Pelodiscus sinensis: one gene and its partner. The protein of the gene in region 1 purifies or fractionates together with the protein of each later gene. This does not show direct contact. Links are inferred from orthologs where the notes say so. Each region holds a gene or a part of one and is shown in the gene's direction. Other genes may lie near its edges. The genes, in order: FLCN and FNIP2.

Region 1 (3,912 bases):
TGCAAAACGCCCCCTGCACAACCCTGGGACAGACCCCGCCCACTCCGGCGTAGCCCCGCCCACAGCTACGACTTGTGTATCACAAGCCTTCCTGGCGGAATGTACCATCTCCCTGCTGCTGTAGGGGGGACGCTAGATAAAAGCCAGAGCTCGGCTGCTGCTCCCTCAGCGCATCCCCATCCTTGGCTGGCTCAGCCCCCATCTTCTCTCCGTCCTACCTGACGTGAAAAGACGCAGGGCCCTGGCTGCACAATTCCACCCCCTCCTGAAGAAATGGTTCAGTCCACTGCCAGTGAGTCGGGATAGCTTCGGACTGAGCCACTGACACGCGCGGGGGAGGAACGGGGGAAAGTGGAGGGGCTGCGCCTGGCCACATAGGAGCGGGAGGGAGACTGAGAAGTGATACAATCTGATCCCACTGTGTACTCTGCTTCCCTCCGGGTGGGGGCGCGGGGTGCAGGCCAGGTCGCTGGATCGCTCCCCCCCCCCCGAGGTGGTTTTGGTTCGGGCCGACAGTGTCAGGCGCCCTGAGGCACGGGACGGGCGGGGTCTTGGAGAAGCTGCCGGGTGAGTGACCAGCCCCCCCCCCCCCGGGGTCTCCGGGCCACTGCTGCGGGGTCGGCCAAGGCTCTGCTGGCGGGCGGGGGTCCCCGTGGGGGGGGATCAGGCAGGTCCCAGGTGGGGGGGTGTCCTGGGGGGGTCAGGCAGGTCCTAGGTGGGGGGTGTCCTGGGGGGGGGGCAGGCAGGTCCTAGGTGGGGGGTGTCCTGGGGGGGGGCCAGGCAGGTCCTAGGTGGGGGGTGTCCTGGGGGGGGGTCAGGCAGGTCCCAGGTGGGGGGTGTCCTGGGGGGGGTCAGGCAGGTCCTAGGTGGGGGGGTGTCCCTGGGGGGGGGTCAGGCAGGTCCCAGTGGGGGGGTGTCCCTGGGGGGGGTCAGGCAGGTCCTAGGTGGGGGGGGGGGTGTCCCGGGGGGGGTGTCAGGCAGGTCCCAGGTGGGGGGGGTGTCCCGTGGGGGAGGGTCAGGCAGGTCCCAGGTGGGGGGTGTGTCCCGTGGGGGAGGGTCAGGCAGGTCCCAGGTGGGGGGTGTGTCCCGTGGGGGAGGGTCAGGCAGGTCCCAGGTGGGGGGGGTGTCCCCGTGGGGGAGGGTCAGGCAGGTCCCAGGTGGGGGGGTGTGTCCCTGTGGGGGGGGGAAATCAGGCAGGTCCCAGTGGGGGGGGGGGTCAGGCAGGTCCTAGGTGAGGGGGTGTCTTTGGGGGGAATCAGGTTTTGGGGGGTGGGGTGTCCCTGTGTGGGGGATCAGGCAGGTCCCAGGTGGGGGGGTGTCCCCGTGGGGGAGGGTCAGGCAGGTCCTAGGTGGGAGGCGGGTGTCTCTGTGGGGGGTGCAGGAGTCCCCATGGGAGGTGTTGGGCCAGGTCTCTGCTGGGGAGGGCAGGTGATTCCATGGGATAGGTCAGGTCAGGCCCAAGCTGGAGGGAAGGAGGTTGGATCTCCCCTGCCCTGGGCCCAGGCCTGAAAATCCTGCCCTGCGCTTGCCCATTTGCACGGAGAGAAAGGGCACGCTGAGCGCTGGGCTTCGTACTCTGCGCGACCCCGGAGGAAATGAACTGACCCTAGAGCTCTGCAGAGCTGAACTTGATTCCCGGCTCCTCCTGAGTGGGAAGATCGCAGCTGGTGCCGTGGGGATGTGTTGATTTCTGTTCATTATACTGATGTGGGGTGCTTCCTCCCTCACCTGCAGGAGAGCCGAGGAGCGAGTGAAGCTACAGCTATGAACGCCATCGTCGCCCTCTGTCATTTCTGTGAGCTCCATGGCCCTCGCACCCTCTTCTGTACAGAGGTGCTGCATTCGCCGCTTCCGCAAGGCGCAGGGAATGGAGACAGCCCTGGGCAGAGCGAGCAAGCAGAAGATGAAGAAGGTGGCATTCAGATGAGCAGTAGGATCCGCTCACACAGCCCAGCAGAAGGTGCTAGTGCTGACTCCAGTAGCCCAGGGCCGAAGAAGTCAGATATGTGTGAGGTGTGTATATGAGCACCCTGTGTCCTTTGCTGAATGAATGGGCCATGGCTTCTCAATGAAGGGCGTGTTATTATTTGGGGCACGGAAAATGGCTTATACTTGCACGGAATCTCGAAACCCTAATAAACTATAGACTAGGGGGCTGTGCCCCCTGCTTGCATCTCTCTCCAAATCCCCTCTCGGCAGGGGAGGGCCCAGCCCAGCTGCCGGTGCCCCGGCTCTTTGTCACCCTGGCTCTTTGTCGCCCCTCCTATCCTGCCCCAGGCTCTTTGTCGCCTCTCCTACCCCAACCTGCCCTGGCCCTTTCTCCCCACCGCCACTAGACAGGGCCAGGCCATGGTGCACTAGCACCAGCTCTCCCCCAGCAGCTGGGGGGTCCGGGCCAAGGCGTGCGCAGAGGCTCGTGGCTTCCACCCCCCCATCCAGAGCACGGAAAGGAGGCTGGAGCGATGACCGCCCCAGCCTCACACTTACTTGGACCGCCATGGGGAAGTGCCTTCATAAACTCCACGTATGGGCCTGGAGGGGCTGCAGCCGATAGGGCTGCGGGCGAAGAGGCCGGTCAGTAGGGAAGCCTGCCATGAGAGCTGGTAGTGTGGCAAGAGGCTGTTTCCGGGGTGTGTTCTGGGTTGCAGTTGGGCGCGTGGCAACGCAGAGTGACGTGATGACTTCACTCTGTCATCCCACAGGAAAAAAATGTTTATCTATCTATCTATCTATCTATCTATCTATCTATCTATCTATCTAGAGAGAGAGAGAGAGAGAGAGAGAGAGAGAGAGAGAGAGAGAGAGAGAGAGAGAGAGAGAGAAATTGCTTTGCCATAGTGAACGCACAGCAACACTTACAGAAAAGTATAACGCAGGAAATGGAAACAAATTCTGTAGCCAGTTAAATGTATTTGCCCACGTTTTTGTGTGTGTCCATCCGTACCCCTTGGTGCTCTTCCACTTAACGTTAGTACCCTCTCTAATAATCCATTCCTAGTGTGCTTCGTGTCTCTCTAGTGGGGACAGATTTCAATATGTCAGTGGGTTCGCAGTTGCTTTACCACTAGCTGAATTTGGCCAGTTGCATAGCCCCTGTCAAATACAAAATCCAGTGAGGAAGTGAGTTGTGAAAGAGGCTGTAAGAGTGAAAGGATGGTTAGGAGGTGGGAGAATGGATCAAGTCCCTACTGCGCCGCAGACTTCCTGATCTAGAGTGAATCACTCTGCCTCTTGGTGCCTCAGTTCCCCGTTGTAAATACTTTCCTACCTCACTGGGTCTTGTGAGGATACTTATGCTGAAGATTGTTAGTCAGTCAGGTGCTGTGATAACGGGGCCTACATATAAGTATATTAAATAGTTGTCTCTTACTTTACTGTAAGATTTTTCTTTTCTTTCGGTGGCCAGGGTTGCCGCTCTCTTGCAGCAGGACACCCTGGATATGTCAGCCATGACAAAGAGACATTGATCAAATATGTCAGCCACCAGCACCCAAACCATCCGCAGCTGTTTAGCATTGTGCGTCAGGCTTGTGTCCGCAGCCTGAGTTGTGAGGTAAGTGATATGAAATTCAGCAAGAAAAATCTGTGCTGTTTCTAATCTAAAACTCAGCTTCACTGATATCGGCCTCCTCCACGGCTTGTAACTTGGAAGGGGTTGGAAATGGAATGCATGGCCAGAGGACCCTGGGTCTCAGTATTTGGCAGGAATTTTTTAAAGATGACTGCAAAGGACAAAAAATACCGGACTCTGCTCTTTGATGCATAAAGAAGGCATTTATATAAAATGTCCGTCTTTTCAGAGCGATGACGAGTTAATTTTGAACTTGCGTTATCTGATCACTTGGAATGCTATCTTGCGTGATTTAGCATACAAGGTAACTAATCTGTTCCACCTAGCTGTGCCTCTCTGAA
Region 2 (3,912 bases), on another chromosome or scaffold:
TGTCATCTTTAGAGTTTGTTGCAGATTGAGTATCCTTCAAAAATTGGTTAAATAAAGGAAGTGGTGAGCCAGTATTGAAGTTTTGGGCTGGTAAAATGTTAATAACTTGATGTATCCAAGATGATGGCCATTCACATTTAATCAGAGGTGTCTGGAGTAGGGATGTTAAATTGCGTGTAATCTGCTAACCATGTAGCCGACAAATATTTTCTCGGTTACACAGTTAACCATTGCTGGTCTGCGTTGAAAGTAGCTTGAGAGCTCAAGCCAGGCTCTGGCAGCTGCTACTCACTGTAGCTCTGCAGGAAAAGTAATTTAAGACTCCTAAATCCAGATCAGTTTGGGGTCTGGAGAGGCAGCGGGAGCTCAAATAACACTTGGAGCGGCACTCTCCATAGAGAAACTGAGAAGACACCTCTTTCCCCCCCCCCCCCCCTTGAGAACAAAAGTCTGAGAGGGGTGAAGTGAGGGAGTAAGTGGGGACTCTGGAATAAGCTTGGTTCTTTCACTGCGAACTGACTAAGGAAGTCAGAGACAGAGCCTGAAGATGGAGTTCAGTACAGTTTGACTTGTGAATTGCTCTGGGTTGACCAGAATGGACTCTTCTTTAACTGTAGGTGCTGATCTTGCAAAGTGCTGAGGGTGCTTGATCCCTGGCTCTGCTGTAGGCCCCACCCCTCTTCTGCCCCCTCCCTTGAGCATGCTGCATCCTTGCTCCTCTTCCCTCCCTCCTCGCCTCCTGCCCGCTTGTGTGAAACAGCTGAATGTGGTGGGTGGGAAGCATGGGAACAGAGTGGGAGGTGTTGATCTATAGTGGGTGGGAGGTTCTGATGGGGGCTGCCAGTGAGATAATACCCAGCTTTCAGGTCTGTGGATGAAAAGGGTTTTATGAATGCTGAACTTGGGTTTTGTTTTTATTGTAGCCAGTACTACAAAATATTTCAGTGGAAATTGGTGATCTTGTATTGGGTGCTTGGGATTTTTATGTGGAATCCTTTTTTTTTTTTTTTTAAGCTGGAAGGGACAATTATTTAAAGGGATGAGGTTAGTTGATCTTGTAGAAAACAAGCTGTGTCCTCTTGGCCTGTACCCTTGAGGAGATTCGGTACTCATTTGCTGTAAAACAAAAGTCTGTGGTTTTTTTAAGTTCTTAATTGGTTTCTCCAATTTGGTGTTAGTAATTTAGTTGTACTAATTTATAACAACTCTGATTTGGTATTTATTTATTATTATGATTTATTTTATTTTGTTTTTAAGGGACACATTTTTAAGCAAGTGTAAAAGTGAAAAGTTACATCCTGCATATTCATAAGATATTACCTATCAATTGTATTGGGTGAACAGATTTGCCTTTTGTGGAAAAGCTTTTTTTTTTCTTTTTTAAAGCTGCATTTGATTCTTAGATGAATATAGACTGTTTACAGAGTAAAACCATTACTGTGCAAAAATTCTGGGGTGTTTGCTGGTGTTAATCATTCCTTACTGATAACTGTAGGGTATTGATGACAGATTTTTATTTGCATTTGAAGTATGGTACTGAGCCATAAGAGGTTGCTAAGAGTTGTCAGATGACACTTGCTCACATGAGAGCCATTAAGAGGGTGTTGCAGCCAGTGTTAGAACAACCTTGCAGCTAAGGGTGAGTCTGTGCAAAATCACCTATGCTCTTTCTTTCAGAGGCCATATGGTTTGGTCTTGTGACCAAATAAATAATTGCCAGCTACATAATCACATACCAGGAAACAAAGGTAGTTCAAATCAATATTAGCTGCTGTATCTGCTGACCGCTTTGCACTGGGTGGAAAAACTCCAGCAACAGAAGCAGGAGATAAACTTGGATGGGCTTTAAAATTTCAGAGTTCTTTGTGGTGGTCTTATTTGGGATAAATATACTATATTACATTGGATGCAGCTGTCTCCCAGAATTACTGATGGAACATGCTACTCTTGTTCTAAAAATGAAACCCGTGGATGGCTTAAAAGACTTGGTTAAATTTCTTCTCCGTGAGGAAATGTCTGTGGTTGCTGGACGCTGAGCCCTACAGCCTATCTCTTACGTTCAGTATTTTCAAGAACCTTTGGGAAAGTACATCTACGCTAAAAAGATGTGTGGAGGTACTCCAAAAACTGCACACAGCACAGGCGGGCAAACAGACTTAGCAAGAAAAAGTAATGATGCCTCTTGCCCACTGGGAAATAATATCTCAAACACAGGATTAGATAAAAAGGCTAAAAAATCTTTGGTAGCAGAACAGAGCACCGACCGTAACAGCAGGTAAGTTGAGATTTGTTAAAATTTTAGTTAATTTTGGGAAGTGTTTCAGTTTGCTTTATTTTGAAAAGTTACAACATGATGTTTCATTGCAGTAATTACTAAACCAGCTGTTGGTCTAGTTCCAAGTATTGTTTTCTTCTGCTACTGTACAACAAAATTATGTGTCTCGCCCTCCAACCTGGATTTAATAATCATATTGAGTATAACTGAAATGCGTTCAGAAAACATCACTAGACCAACAGCTCGTTCAATATTTGCTGCACTGAAACATCAGCTTGTTCCTTTTCCAACTAAAGCAAACTGAAATACTTCTCAAATCTAAACAAATGGGTTGCTCAGTTGGAGTGTGCACATAGATTTCAGAATACTTTTGGCTATTATGAATGTAAACTAGCTTTGTTGAGATCAGAGTTCTGTTAATCTCTGCAAAGAACTGATGATCTGAAAACAGTATGCTGGGTAAAGCCTCTGGGTATCTGCAACTTTCCGGTTATCATTTGGATTGCAGTAAGGGGTGAATTTTTCAATTTTTAATGTGTAATTACTATTAAAACAAATATGCATAATTTAATTGGCATCTCAAATTTATCTTTAGCTACACTTCACCTATCTTTTAAATTTTCTAAAGCGACTATCAGTGCATTCGTAGTTAACTTTTAAAAAAAACAAACCCTGTCCTTTATAGCAGTGCACACATGGAAAATAATATAGTAATTAAGTGCTATGTCAAAAAATCAAATAGGGATTTTAAAAAAATCAAACATAATTTTCCCCTAAGCAAAAGAGGTCATCTTATCTCCAAGTGAATCCTCTCTTATGTACAGAAGAAGACATTTGAGTAAGTCTAAGAAAGCAGCTTTGGAAGAGTGAAGGATTTTTTTTAACCTAATTCTGACAAGAAACCTGATGAGTCAACTTTTAATCATGCATTTCTTTAAAAAAAAAAATTCTTAATATGTCCTTTACTAACATGTTACCACAAATACATTTTGAAGAGTGCTAGTCACATTAATTGTAGAAGTGCTATATGAAAACTACGAATATAGAATTTCTTTGCTAAAACTTTTAATTATACTAGCATCTCTTCCATAAACTGGGGTTATGTGCTTCTACTTAGCACTTTCAATTTTTAATCTGCCTAAAGCTTACCCTAGTGCACTGTATATCAGAGCTCCACATTTTTGTTTGGTTCCAACTGTCTTAAAGTTAACTCTATTGGAACTTAGCCTTTCAATATTAAGCAGGTGTCCAAAAGTAGTCCTCATACTTGGTGGACCTTGTATGATGTCTGTGTTCCCATTAGCAGCTAGGTAACTGTAAACAGCTGACCAGCTATTATTAAAAAGAACAATTAAAACAGAACACAAACCAAAACCAAAAAGTAAATAGCTATTTTCCAACTGAGCACACAGATTTATCTACTGAAGCATATCCACGATTGTATTACATGTTGAAGAGGAACTGAAAACATACTTTAGAATTGATTAAGCATCACTGTTTTCTAAACACTTCTGTAAATGAGGTTGAAATGGACTAATAGAACTTTTTTTAGTGTGTTGCAAGTAGAAAATTAGGATTTACCCTTAGGTAACAGAGCTTCAGGAAAAACGGTGTAAATTCTCAATTAATATTCTTCC

Evidence for each region.
Region 2: the proteins of FLCN (region 1) and FNIP2 purify together in Homo sapiens (affinity purification with western blotting; 5 studies listed by BioGRID and IntAct, with this or other methods). This does not show direct contact. The link is inferred for Pelodiscus sinensis from reciprocal best matches to the Homo sapiens genes FLCN and FNIP2.

The regions. Positions count from the first base shown.
Region 1 is NC_134726.1:33,890,122-33,894,033, forward strand, and holds the start of FLCN (folliculin), read left to right. Parts: upstream 1-1,764; coding exon 1,765-2,013; intron 2,014-3,406; coding exon 3,407-3,553; intron 3,554-3,912. UniProt on the Homo sapiens protein: Multi-functional protein, involved in both the cellular response to amino acid availability and in the regulation of glycolysis.
Region 2 is NC_134715.1:59,662,308-59,666,219, forward strand, and holds the start of FNIP2 (folliculin-interacting protein 2), read left to right. Parts: upstream 1-1,667; 5' UTR 1,668-2,105; coding exon 2,106-2,275; intron 2,276-3,912.